Linked DNA regions of Mytilus edulis. The protein of the gene in region 2 purifies or fractionates together with the protein of the main gene of each other region. This does not show direct contact. Links are inferred from orthologs where the notes say so. Each region holds a gene or a part of one and is shown on either strand. Other genes may lie near its edges.

Evidence for each region. Proteins that work in one complex are often made in the same cells at the same time.
Region 1: the proteins of syntaxin-17-like (region 2) and vesicle-associated membrane protein 7-like purify together in Drosophila melanogaster (affinity purification with western blotting; 4 studies listed by BioGRID, with this or other methods). This does not show direct contact. The link is inferred for Mytilus edulis from reciprocal best matches to the Drosophila melanogaster genes Syx17 and Vamp7.

The regions. Positions count from the first base shown.
Region 1 is NC_092351.1:17,222,103-17,229,803, reverse strand, and holds the start of vesicle-associated membrane protein 7-like, read left to right. Parts: upstream 1-4,612; 5' UTR 4,613-4,672; exon of another isoform or gene 4,673-4,842; intron 4,843-6,393; exon of another isoform or gene 6,394-6,477; intron 6,478-7,701.
Region 2 is NC_092357.1:27,499,474-27,506,909, forward strand, and holds the start of syntaxin-17-like, read left to right. Parts: upstream 1-4,241; 5' UTR 4,242-5,538; intron 5,539-5,817; 5' UTR 5,818-5,820; coding exon 5,821-6,012; intron 6,013-7,436.

The DNA.
Region 1 (7,701 bases), on a different chromosome or scaffold from region 2:
ACTGGTTCTCGGCTAACTATTCTACTGCACTTTGTTCATAGACAACCGATAAGATCAGATCTATTCATTGTCGAAATTGATTGGATGACCAATCAAATTACGTTTGAGTGAAGTGTAATACAAGACAAGAGGATAGATGTTTATCATTTTTGACATTTACGTCCCTATCTTTTCCTCGGATCCTGAATCCACCCTGCTCAATACACCTAATCGCTATTTATTCCATTCCGGATAAGTTCTAAAATTACACAACTTTTTCATCCAGTTGAAGCTATCTGGCCGAGTTCACTTGAAACTCTTCAATCGAATTCAGAGTTAAAAGATTATCACGTGAACGCATTAGAGTTGATATTCGGAACAACTCTAAGTCACTCTAGGGTAAGGCCCCGACCAAGCATAACAAAATAAAATATTCTCATTGGTTTGACGTCATTCAAGAGTTTCTCGAGTTTAACCCTGACTCGGTTAGGGTTGGAACCAGGGTACGAGGTGTTAACTCGAGTGGTTCAACTTAAATCGTTTTGTTGAAACCCGAGTAAGTAAAGTTAACTCGAGAGTTTCAAGTGAACTCGGCCTCTCAGGATCCTGTTTAAACCGGCAATTCACCAAGCATGATACTTTTTAATGAGACCTGTTAAAACTACCGTAAATACTTCAAACAAAATATTTTTTATGCCCCACCTACGATAGTAGAGGGGCATTATGTTTTCTGGTCTGTGCGTCCGTTCGTTCGTCCGTTTGTTCGTTCGTCCGTCCGTCCGTCCGTTCGTTCGTCCGTCTTTCCCGCTTCAGGTTAAAGTTTTTGGTCAAGGTAGTTTTTGATGAAGTCGAAGTCCAATCCGATTCAATCGACTTCAAACTTAGTAAACATGTTCCCTATGATATGATCTTTTTAATTTTAATGCCAAATTAGAGGGTTTACCCCAATTTCACGGTCCACTGAACATAGAAAATGATAGTGCGAGCGGGGCATTCGTGTACTGGGGACACATTCTTGTTTACTTTAATTTTAATTTCGAAAAAAGTGGATCATACTCTATTAATTTCTTGATGATCGCTTTCTAAAGTTTTCCTCCCTCAGCTCTCTTCTAATGACCCCTATTTTCGGCGGCATGACCCAAACAGGAAGTTGTGTAAATGACTGTTTTTCCAGGATTGGACTAAATAGCGATAATGTGTATTCTATCTCAAAAATTGAAATAGACCAAAAACGAAGTTGGTAACCATTAAGAATTTGAGTGACTTCAGTTTGATAAGCAATTTCAATACTTATATAATACATTAAATCAGTTTTGATAAGAAATTTCTTTACACAAGTGGGAAAAAAATAAAGTTATGTTTTTTATAGGTTTTTTAATTATTGTTTCAAAAACAATAAAAGATTTGATATAAAAGATACCACATTTTTGCTAAGAAATAGTGATTTTAAATGAAACAAATTAAAAACTGTTGAAATTGATAGACATCAATTAGCATGAAGTATACAAGATGCGAAGCAATGTTTAAAGGGCTATAATGGAAGCCCAAATATGAGTAAAGGTACGAAATTTAAATTATTCACGTTGGCGTGAGCTGTTAATATACACATGCTAATTAACTACTTTGTTTTGTTATGTGTGGCACATATATACATATCTACGTCGACATGATCATGGATTCATTTTCAAATATCTTGTAAATTAATTTCAGAGCTCCAGATAGGCTGTGTACATGTATTTGAAGATTATGCAATAATAACAATCAAAAATCAAATTCACTCAAAAGTATTACATTTATTTAAGAAAACAGTGTATGGCCATCTAAAATTATTGCTTGTTACATTCATTTGCTACATGTATAAATGTATGTCTTTATTAAGATATATCATGTTTCAAGTCAATTACTTCATGAAATGGTGTTTTGTAAAACTAAATTAATTTAGGAGCTCTGGTAATACAAGGATTTAATATATAACAGAGAAGATATGGTATGAGTACCAATGAGACAACTCTGCATCCAAGTCACAAATAATTATAGGTCAAAGTACGGTCTTCAACACGAATGATTGGATCACACCGAACAGCGGGCTATAAGGGAATGACCATTTAACTTCAAAGGGGTATCTTTTTATGCCCCACCTCCGATAGTAGAGGGGCATTATGTTTTCTGGTCTGTGCCTCCGTTCGTCCGTATGTGCGTCCGTTCGTCCGTATGTGCGTCCGTTCGCTTCAGGTTAAAGTTTTTGTTCAAGGTAGTTTATGAAGAAGTTGAAGTCTAATCAACTTGAAACTTAGTACACATGTTCCCTATGATATGATCTTTCTAATTTTAATTCCAAATTAAAGTTTTGACCCCAATTTCACGGTCCACTGAACATAGAAAATGATAGTGCGAGTGGGGCATCCGTGTACTTGGGACACATTCTTGTTTTTCCTAAAAAAATATTCTGATTCCCAATTTGATGAAAAACAAATTCTGACGTCAGACACGCGAATCAATGAGTTTGTTTGTAGATAGAATGATGTTTTTTGTGTTCTGTTTATAAATTGTTCCTTTTAATATTGTTACACGATGATGACTGCTGTACCCATATTTTGACCATTTTATTTATTATATATATATATGTCTGTTTAGTTCACGCATTATTGTAAATATAACGGAATTTGATGTGACTGTCAACAAAGTGAGAGGTTTATAGAGCTTTAAAACCAGTTTTAATCCACCATTTTCTACATTTGTAATTGCCTGTACCAAGTCAGGAATATGACAGTTCTTGTCCATTCGTTTTTGATGTGTTTTGTCATTTGATTTTGCCATGTGATTATGGACTTTCCGATTGGATTTCCTCTGAGTTCAGTATTTTTGTGATTTTACTTTTTCTGGTAATTTTCATGATAAAAGGTCATTGTACATATAATAATACACCTTTCCTCTTAAAACTTTTTGACTCCTTTTTAAACCAGTCCTTTTTATGGAAGTGAATTGTGGGGTCTGTACATTCTTAATCCGGGAAAAAGATTATCACCAGGTTCAAATGATGATTTAGAAAAAAACTTTTTTTTTAATTTTGCACCTGAAAACTTTAAGGATCACATTCGATATTGTAAATTTGTACTTGGTGCCACTAAATATGCTTCTAATATTGCCAGTATGGCAGAACTTGGTCGTTATCCAATCTCTGTATTTGTTATTCTGCTGTCTCTTAAATATTGGCTATATTTGTATAAAGACCCTCTTTTGAATTTTTCTAAATTAGCATATAAGTCAATCAAAGATGTTGATTGTACCTTTCCATGTACCTTCAATAAACACATTTTTTCAGTTTCTAAAATTCATTGGTTTTGACCATGTCTGGAACAATAAAAGAACTCTGTCAGAAGGAAAACTCATATCTGCAGTGAAATAGAGATTACAAGGAAGATATCGAAAACAAAATTTTAATGTTTTTCAGGTGAAAACCAAAACAAATTACGCACCTATTACTAACAAGTTAAAAAAGGAATATAAGCCTAAGACTTATACAAAGTTGAATATCTCAAAAATATATATTAGACAGTTATGTAAATAAAGAATTCAAACAATTTACAGATCGAAAAAGGCAGATATATATAATAATACGCCTTTGGATCAAAGGATATGTAAACATTGTCTTAATAACAAATTTGAAGACGAGTTTCATTTTATATGTGAATGTAACCTTTATCAAGAGAAGAGGGAAAGGTTTAATGATGACATTGTTAAGACTAATGTACTCAACCATGTCAACAGATTTCTTTTATATGTAGACAAATTTATTTTTATTAGAAATTCATCAGTTGGAATTAGTGCATAATATATATTGATAACGGTCTATTGTGTGTTATAAGTGTCACAATTGCTGTCTCTTTATGTGTTGTTTTGTGGGTTTTTGTTTTAGTCCGAGATTACTCTGACGTCCAACGGCTGTTTTGCCAGACAAGCTGCGGCCCCAGCTTGTCTGTCAAAATAGCCGTTGGACGTCAGAGTAATCTCGGACTAGGTTTTTTTCTGTGCTGTCATGTAATTCAGCGATGATCTTTTTGAATTAAATTTTACACTGAATGAAATGAGTTAGTTCAGAGGCGGATTTAGGGGGGGCAGGGGGCCCGGGCCCCCCTTTTTGGGAAAAAATTTGGTTGCTTATATAGGGAATCACTGAAGCGTGACTGGAGCGGGGCCCCCTCTTAGGTCAGTCAGTGGGCCCCCACTTATGAAAATTTCTGGATCCGCCACTGTAGTTAGCCGGTTTATACTCAGTTTTCTCCATGCAGTGGAGAAAATTCGGATTCATATAATCTTTGTCTGACGGTAGTGAACTGGAATTAAAGTCTGAGATATGCATAAAAATTTTGAATAACAATCTAAAGTCGTAAGTTATGTCGGAGCTCTGCGGCCTGTGGTACTTTAATTACAGTTTACTGTGAAATCCTTGCCGCTTGCTCGGTAGAAGTTTGATTATATTTTGGGTTGATTGTGTGTGGTTATCTATGATTTACTCTAATCAAACGATTGCCAGACATGACTTCTGTCAGAATATGTAAAAATAGAAAAATAAAGGCAAATATTATGAAATTAATGCTGAGGTTCAAAATCCGGAATATGAACGGAACTTGGCCTCGTAAATTAAAAATTTGAATAAACCGGAAGTGGGTTAACCAAAACAAAAAGATTTTCAGTCAGATTTCTGTCAAAATTTGCCTCAAACGCACATAGGGTAACACAATATATTGAAATTTTATAGATATTGCAAAAATATGATAGTGTTCTTCTTTAAGAACTAAGTTTTTTGTAAATGAAAGAAACTAATGAGGGAATGAGTAATAATCACATGACACATTTTGACAGGTTGGTGAAGATCCTCACCTAAAGGGTACTATCCTCATTTATTGGCATTATACCCGATATCGTGTAACAATCAACCAAAATAAGTAAGATAACACATTTTGTATTTCATCATAATGGCTGACATGGCCGCAAATATCACAATATTCATATACTAAATTGCAACATTTTCCCCTCTTAGAAAATACACCTTATCGCTATTTGTCTGCCATTAGTGGACATCACACAGGTTCTCGTAAAATTTTGAAGTCATAATACATAATATCTGACGCCACAGTGGAAAAGTGATTGTTGTATGTATGACGTCAATAGTTCAAGCGGCACAGATTCTCGAGTCAGCCAGGATAAGCGATAAGGTGTATACATTTTGTATGTTGTATCCTATTTTCTTGGTTATTACATACAGTTTAACTCATTTTCAATATATCATGGTTGAATTAGAATTTGATGAATTTTTTTATAGCATGTTGTTTATGGCTTCGGTCAGCTTGTTTGATTTCAAAACCAAAACAAACTTCAAGACAATCAAATACATTACTGTTAATTTAGAAATTATTGTGTGCATTTATTATTGTGATTTTTTCCATTTAGACTAAAATGTGATTTTATTTTTTACGCTTTTGAGAAAACTTCTGTTTAATTAGGACAAAATATTTCTATATATTTTAAATTATTGCGTTAATAACTCTGTGGCTTTTTTCAGTCAGGGGACTTACTGAAATAGGTGATTTTTAAATCACTTATTTGAGTAGCAAAATCGTGGTTTTGTCACAAATTGGAATTTTGTATTTTTTTCCAAATTTTAAACACATAGGGTTAAATAATAATTTTTAATTAGTAAAATTTAAAAAAAATAAACTTTTAGCTTCTTTTAAGTAGAAAGGTTTCTACCTTTGATGCTATCATTTAGCTGAAAATTCTATTTTAGTTGAAAAAATGCTATAATAATGGCTTTACATAATAAACTGATACTTTCTTAAAAGATTTTTCCCAGCAGTGGGAGTATTTTTCCTGTGAAGTTCAATGTTTCATCTTTCAGATTATGTAATAAAATTCTACTGTTCGTGATAAAAATCTCACTGTTCAGGGGTGTTGAAATTAGTAGGGATTATTAAAAGAATGATACTTTAAGAAGTGATTTTTCAAATGTTTTTGGGAAGGAAATTGAGGTCATACTTAAACAAGTGATTTTTATGTCATTATCCTAGATTCAGTACAAGGTCATCACCTGAAATGACCTGGTCATCCTTAGACAACACAGATGTTGGTTATGATAAGTTTAGAAACATAATTAGTCCCTGGATCATTAGTATTCTATATTTAAAGCTACAATAAAATTAAATCACTTCTTCTAGTAATTAATTTGTACTACTTAAATAGGTGATTATTAAAGAAAGACAACTCTAACTTCCAACCTTTATGGAAATAATGTAACTTAAATCAGTGATTTAGAAAATCACTTATTTAAGTAAGTCCCCTGACTGTTTTTCGCAATGATAAAAACCTCGCAATAATTTCTAAATTTACAGTCATGACAGTATTATGTCTTTGTAGAAATACATGTATCGTCTATCTTAACTTATGAGCAACAAGCAGAAAGAAGCAACGACAACCCTTATTCGACAAAGACTCAACATGGTACGTGCATCTGTGATTTTTAGAAAAAGAATAAAATATTCTGATATTATAATTATGTTATCACTGTCAACTTTTACATGTTTTATTAAAAAGTCGTATCATTATTTTTGGAAACTAATCATGCTGATAGAATGAACCAGGCAGCATCCAGCCCTTTTTCTAAACCAACCCAGGATAAAAAAAAGGGGGGGGGTCCAACTATATGACCCTGTTTAAATGCATTGATCATCAAGAAAAAAGGTGGGGTTTCAACCCCCGGAATCCCCCTCTGGATGCGCCACTGTGTACAATATGATTATTGTGATCCTTACCTTGAGTACATTGTGTAGATCTAATACAACTACATGTACATGTAGATGTACACAAACTATGAGTGCTTAAAAACCATTATATACATGTTGTACATGTACAACACTAAGGATATAACTCTATAGAGTTGTTACAGAAAAATAACATAAATTTGTTATTGTGGACTAAAAAATCAAAGAACTGTGATAACATATATGTATGTTACATGTTTCAAAGGGACAATATACATCATTATTCTAATTAAAATGTATACAAGTTCTATTGATATTACTATCGTCTTTATGTATACTTAACTATAGAAAGATATAACACTTCATAGTTTTCCAAATTTGCATAATACACCTACATTGTATGTTCATGATGTTATTACACATGTTACAGAAAAAATATGCCTGTAAAAACTAACGGGTGCTATCACAGCTTCTCTATATCACTTCAAAGCATTTGCTCAGACATACATCATGCTTAATTACAATTTATTTTAACTTATTGTAAGAAATAATTATCAGAGCATTTAATGAGATTCTGAGCAATCTTCCCAGTAATTCCCAAAGGTCTCATATGAAATGTTACATGTACAAACAAAAAAATGTACATTCCTTTAATAATTAAGCCTTGTTATCCTAGCTTAGTTTATCCCTTAAAAGCCTTGTCTCATTGATTTACCATACATGGTTAATCAAAAATGTATATATTTAATTAAAAAATTAGTTATCAAGGCTATGCATTTAGTTTCTGCGCAGTCTCAAGAGTTCCCTAGAGTCCATTATAAATTAAAATATTTAACAAATAGAAAAAATGTAACAAACATGCGTTATTACATTGTACATGTACAGAATTAGAAAATTTAAGGAATAAAGAGTACACAACACATGAAAGTATCTGTAATAACACATGAATTTTATTTTCTGTAAT
Region 2 (7,436 bases):
CAGAGGGGAAGAATGAGTATCAGTATATATAAGAGCAAATCATTAATTTACAAGAATACCCAACGCACTGAAAGGGGTTTCTTTGGGGACAAATATGAAAAAGGGGCATGGAACTCTATTTTGGGGGAAATAATGAAAATGTATTTAAATTTTGATGTTCTGCGGGGAAAGAACAAACTCCCCCAGCAAAATTTAAGTTGTATTTCATAGCTCACATAAACGGAATAAGTTGCATCATCATGCAAATTATTCAGTATTCATAGTATCCTCAAGCTTAAGAGAGGGAAGAATACCCCCTCCTCATGTGGGTCTTTCCATCAATTCTTCAAATGAAACTTTGTGACTGGTTGATAAGTTCCGTTGGAACTTTTGGGCTAGTTTGTTAGTTCCGGTTTTGACTAATTTGGCAAAAAGGAACTTTCTAGCTAGTTGATATGTTCCGTTGGAACTTTTCAAGATCTTTCAACTATTCACTTTGTTCCGGTGGAACTTTTAAACCAGAGAAAGAACAAAGTACATTGTAACTAGTTAATAAATTCCTCCGGAACTTTTCGGCTAGTTAGTTCTTTCCGCCCGGGACTTTTCAACGTCGGAACAAAAGAGCATTTACATTTATTACGGCTGGTAGGCATTAAACTGATTATACATGTCAGAGTGAACATTCACTGTCTCTGTGTTTTTACAAAACCATAGTTTTATAGAATTGTGAGTTGCATGGAGTGTTGTTTCGTTGACACTCATACCACATCTTCCTATATCTATTAAAGGAGCACTAGCTACGAAATACATAAAAAAACATCTGATTTTTTTTTTTGTTCAATCATTAATGAAAGTGAAATAATAATTAACTATGTAAGCAGCAAGTAGGGTTCAATTTTTTTCAAAATAAGCGAAGAAACATCGATGGTGAGTAATGCAGTGAATAATTCAACCTCATTGAATCCGTATTCATGTGAATTCAATTTAATTACCCCTTAGCTAGAGATGGATTATGTATGATTGATGCGTGTTAGGTTATTAAAAGAAAAGCATGTCGACAATGATAGTGAAACAACGGTAAATCATTTAATTGACTGATTCGATTCACAAAAAAAAAAATCATTCTTACTCAGGTAAAATCGAAAATTAACTTATTTTTGTACCCTTAAAATTGAAATCAAACAGACATAGCAAAATCCATGTGTACGAGTTCCACATATCAATTTATATTTATGTTTATGTTTGTGTCGTTATGTGACCATTGGTTGTTTTCGGTGTCATATCTCAATAGTTAATTAGATGACGTCTAGACTAAATTGAAATACACACGAAACGAAGATTCATATTATCGATCCCATGCCCTGTAAATTGTTTATAATTTGAATAAATGTTGTACATTGTTATAATTACATTAGATGTATGTTTCATTATAATACGTTATTCTGATTGGCTAACTAGCAATCTCGTGATATTCCTTAATCAATTGCATTACACAATGCAACTTTTCATTCATGATGACACGAGGTCCCACAATAAAGTGTACAGGTAAATGAATTAAAAACTTGATAAAAGGCGTGTTTTCATGATCCTATAGGTAAAAATGTAATTATAAGTATTGAATGCTTTTTTTTTGGTAACTTTATAAATAAGGTTGTAAAAGCGTTGACCGTGTGCACATTTTTAGTATGAAGCGCTTAAATTCCGCGCTTCATACAAAATGTACTTCGGTCAACGGTTTTACACCCCAATACATTTACAAAAAAAGAGCATTCAATTCTTAAATAAATCTAATATGAGAATTAGATTCAAATCGGTGAACATGAATTTGACAGCTAGTGCTATATGAAAAAAATATTCCTAACATCAATTTGTTTTGAGTTTTAGGGTGTTTTAACGGCATTATCATGTCACGATAACATTAAACTACAACATGTTCCGCGGCCATCGGCTCTATGCATAGCAGTCAAGGCAATCGGAAATGCATACCCCATAAAACTGTCGTATATCTTCCAATTATAACACAAAAATGTATGTCTTTATCCGGCTATATCCGGCTACCTATGCTCAACTGTTGACCTTAGAATTACCATTGCACTTTTAAAAATTCAACTAAAATTCTATTGTCGTTTGGAATCTCTTAGCTTATTTCGACCAGATGCCAGAAATATCTGATACACAGTAGGATAAACAAACACAGTAATACGTACAGTAAAATATAATTCAAAAGAAGTTCGAGTTCGAGGTCAAGGTAATATGGGTTATACCATTTGCATCTTCGCGAGTCAAAGGTTGCGATCCAGATGAGATTATTCAACAGTTTGAAGAGGAAAAATTGATGAATAAAAAGATGTGATCATGATTGAAGCTAGCAACTATGTGTCATCGTCAGCTTCCAACAATCGGAGCAAAATCCATGCCGTATAATAAGCTATAAAAGGCCATGAAATAACTACAAAATATCACTTGTATAAAAATGTAAACGAAAAAATTATAACGACCTGATTGTAATAAAGAATACAAGAACAACATAATATACGATTTACATGTACAAATATGTCAGATATGCATAAAGAGTTATATTAGTTAATTTTTATTTCATTTTCATGTACAAATGTAGAGTGTAGTTCGTGTTCACCTTCACAAATTGCATCTGAAATAGATGATTGTTGTTCGATGTTTAAACGTATATAAAGGAAGCTTATGCAATCTAACAACTATAAGATACAACACGTACGGTTACTGGCATAATCTTTAAAAAAAATTCGTAAAATGTATGCCTTTTCAGTATACATTTTTTTCTTCTGTTAAATTGGCGATTTCTTTCCCAAGTAGTTGTTGTTCGAATCTAATACCAGACAAATAATACTATTTATATATGTCTCTGATCTGATACTTCACGGATAGTATGATTTCTTTCTTAGTAGTTGTTTTTCGATTCTAATCATTTGACTTCACGGATATTTCTTTCTTAGTAGATGTTGTTCGATTCTAATTCTAAGAGGATATTTCTTTCCCAGTAGTTTTATTCGATTCTAATACTAAACGGAAGGTATACTTTTATAACGATTTAAATTTGCATTCTTCAAAAGAATTACATATATTTGATGTTGCAAGGCCGCTTTTATGATAATTGCTGATTTTTGTTTATAAGGCTATATAATTTATAAGACATCTTGAATCTTCAAAGATTTAATTTTGATATTGGAATTGGACAGTTAAGCTAATATCTGCTCTATATCATAGAGTAGACTTTATTGTTCAGAATATATACTTCAAGTTTTGTTTGCGATAAAAATCAAAATTATTTTCATCAATTTTTGTCCGGATTCATGGCGTATCTTTTTCGATTTTGTTTTGTAAATTATAATCATTAAGACACTTCCTGTTTACATTTTTTATAAAAGAAAAGTAGGTTTTTACCAAAACAACTCTATTTCTCTAGTATTACTCTACTCTATTGAGGTGTCATTGATTCGAAAAAGGTTTAGTTGTATGAGTAGAAATTTGAATTTGAAAAAGGGAAATAGGGTTGTATATAAAAAAGATTCAAATGGTAAAAAAGAACAAAATGATAATGAAAATGAAACAGGATACAAATTTTTTTTGTATCCTGTTTCATTATTATGTCAAAATACAATTTATTGCAAACATAGTCATATACATTTTATACAAATATCTATTTCACAGAAGACACAAGCTCTACTGAGTTTTTTACACTGAAAATGCTCAACATTAAAATAAGACATGACATTTACACACATCATTACAAACAAATGTATCATGAATGCGGGACAACTCGGCCCCAGAACAAGTTGGACTGAGTTCAATCAGATCCTCTGTTTATGAAAACAACTTGAACAGTCAATCAGTCAACTCAGAAACGTCTATAAGGACAGCTCAGACAAAGTACTTGACCTGTGTTAAAAGAGGATTTACACTATTATAGTATTGTATACATATAAACGACTATAAATTATCAAATGTGATATTTTACATGGCAATCTCATTGCTGTACATGTATTTGCAAAACAGGAAAACAAATATTGTAATGTGTGAATACAATATTTCACTAATCTTTATTAATTTATTACATGTATTTATACAGTATAATAAAACTTGTATCCCTGACTGTCATACATATTATAATTGAAGCAAAAAATAGTCGGTTGAGTTTGCTTAACTTTAATATTTGAATTCTTCATAAATTATTTTAAAGTCATCTTTGACCTTGAAAAATGACAGCTAATAGTTCTACAATGAAGTATCTATAACCATAAGAGTTTGTGCTATAATAAAATCAGGCATTTCATTGCTCTGTTAGGAAATAGAGACTAAAATATTACATTATATTGCAATAAAACATTTTCTTTTTGCTGTTGGACTCATCAATGGCTAAAAACAGACTCGCCTTCAAAAATCCTTAGCGAGAACCCTGAAACTTGTTATGTTTTACATCAAAGTACATTGTACCATTTTCATGCTTTTGGTGTAGATTCTTATTTCTAATTCTTCATTCACCAATGTTCACATTAGGAATCTATATTTTAAATAAATCTTAGTGCTCAAATCATACATGTATGTATCTTATGTGAATGACACCATGATTTAGTGTACATCATTTGTACACGTATATAGGTTTTACTTAGTGCTAAATTTTATATATATTGTTGTCTTAGTTTTGTTTTGAAATTGGAGTACTAAAAACTTTGTTAAAGACTTCTCACTAGGCACAGACTTTTTCAGTAAATCTTTTATTTTGCAAAACTGTAGTTTTATACTGAGTCTGACTTGTCATTAAAGACAACCCCAGTAGACTTATTGATGGTCTGACTTGTCTATATAAGTCCAAGTTGTCTTAGTTGGAGATGGTCTTAGTTGTCTTAGTTGGAGACGGTCCAAGTTGTCTTAGTTGGAGATGGTCTTAGTTGTCTTAGTTGGAGACGGTCCAAGTTGTCTTAGTTGGAGACGGTCCAAGTTGTCTTAGTTGGAGACGGTCTAAGTTGTCTTAGTTGAAGATGGTCCAAGTTGTCTTAGTTGGAGATGGTCTTAGTTGTCTCCTGACTGGCTTGTCTTGCACCCATATAATCATAATAATTTATACTTCACAAGCATGCACATGTGCAGTGTAACCAAAACTCTGTCTAACCGACAAAATGTCAGACAAAAAATCATTCGGTCAGACAGAAATTTTAAGATTTTTTAGTTGAATATAAAGTAGAAAAGTTCAAATTTCTCTTTTGGTCAGACAATCCCTAAAACAGTTTGGCACAGACTGCATGTGACATTTTGATACAATAAATGTGGCCAAGGTTTACAACAAACATATATGTTCAACAAAGTACACATTTATTGCAGACTTGTGCAAAATCATTAATCTAAGTATCCATGAACCTGCTAAATTTTTTTTTAAATAAATAAAATTAGTATTCTGAACATAACTGAATCCACAATAGTTTATTATCATGATTATTGTCATGTTTTCTGCTTTTGAAGAGAAATACAAAATACAAAATTACTCAATATATGTTATTTTGAAAACATGTGTTATATTATATATAAGTGTCTAAGAATGTAACTTTAACACACTAATGAGTGTTATAAAATTAGTTTGTTATATTTTATATATTATTCACGCAATATTTCGCTAAACAAATTAGCTTCATCGGGCATGAGCATCTATCTAGGTTAAAAATCGTATGCATGACAAAAAATATCTTTGTAGCTTGATTGTTGCTATTTTTAGACACTATATGTATATATATGTATATATATAACTCGTCTAAACATCAACCCAACATTGTATATATATATATATATATATATATAAATGTTACATAGAACATGTTATGTTATTTCAGTTTTATGAATATAACCAACATGGGAAGTTTTGAGAAAAACACAAGCTGGACAAGCAGAGATACAGAGATCCCAAAGTTTCCTATTCAAAGGTTGGAACCGTCCATACAGAAGTTTCTTAAAGTGATTGAAATGGACTTGGACAGGTTACATAAACACAGGCTTAATATTGAAAAGGTAATTTTATGACTGTGTATGACACACAGTGTTCCAGCTAGCATGAAATGGAGGGGCGCCGCGCACCGCCCCCGAAATTTTGCGCCCCTCTGCCTTTTTTAAGCGCCCCTGCGCCCCTCTGTGCCCTTTTGAAAAAAAGTTTAAAAAACGATCTTTTTTCCTCATATCGTCGCCATTTTGTTGAGTTCTTTATACACACACTTCATTAAGACAACAGATTAAAATTGTTGACACTTGTTAAACTGATTATAATCACCTATTTGATTAGAGTCAATTACTTAATCAGGTGAAATTTACGACCCTGTCTAATCCCTTTACCCTGAAGCACCAAACATCGAAGTTAAATAAATTGATTATTTTAACACCTAACGATGCAAAATATAATTTATAAAATAAATGTGAACGGTGTTCATTTCTATTGTATTTGTTATTTATTATGTCATTTAAAAAGAATCATTCCAATAGGTCAACACGCAAAATGCATGAAACATGATGTAACTTTGACCTCCGTAGCAGAGTTCAAAAAATTTATGGGTCACTGAATATTCACAATTCAGATCGTTTTTGTTTTGATGTTTTTATTTTTGAAACTGATCTTTCAAACTAGTTTTAATCCAGAAGAAAGTAAAAACATTGCTTGACTGTACCTTTAGTTGAATATCTATATCCAAATTAAATTAATTAAAACTAATCCATGATCACAAATTGAATGCTTTGTTTACAATTGTTCAAAGCCATGTGCTTTTTGGCGGGAAAATTCGGGAAACCCCTTATTAACAGGAAACAGTTACATTTCATTGTTATTTATAGACAGTAGGAATTTCTTCTAAGATTTATTCATGAAAAATTATAATAATTTCTTGGGGTGAAACTGATAATACTTTTTTTATTAAAATAATTTACATCTAGGGGTATGGAAAGGGGGGCTGTTTTTTTTTTGTTTTTTTTTCAATAATATTACAAATATATATATATAAAGTTCACCAGTCTGAAAATACATGGTTAAATGGATTTTAATTCTGAAAAACTCATGTTTATTTAATTCCTTTATTATTTCCATCATAATAAGAAACAAGCTACATGTATAAGGTATTTCAAACATATATTTTTGGCTTTTATATAAGAACATTAAAGACTATTAGTATGTATGTGCCTGCAGTAAAAACAAACCTGGTAAAGGCCTAAAAAAATTCTACAGGGCCCTTGTAAAAACTTTTGAATCCAGACTGGCCTTCAGAGAAAATGTTAAGTATTGTTCCTGACTGTATTGCAGATTTATGTGAAGTTTTTAAACTGACATGCACAATTCATTTCACAAGTGTAATAAAAATAATTCTACAAAACAACGCAGCGCATCGCGTTGCAAATTCATCTTAGACCCACCATGCATCAAGAAATATGTCTTTATGTGGTAATATTAAGTA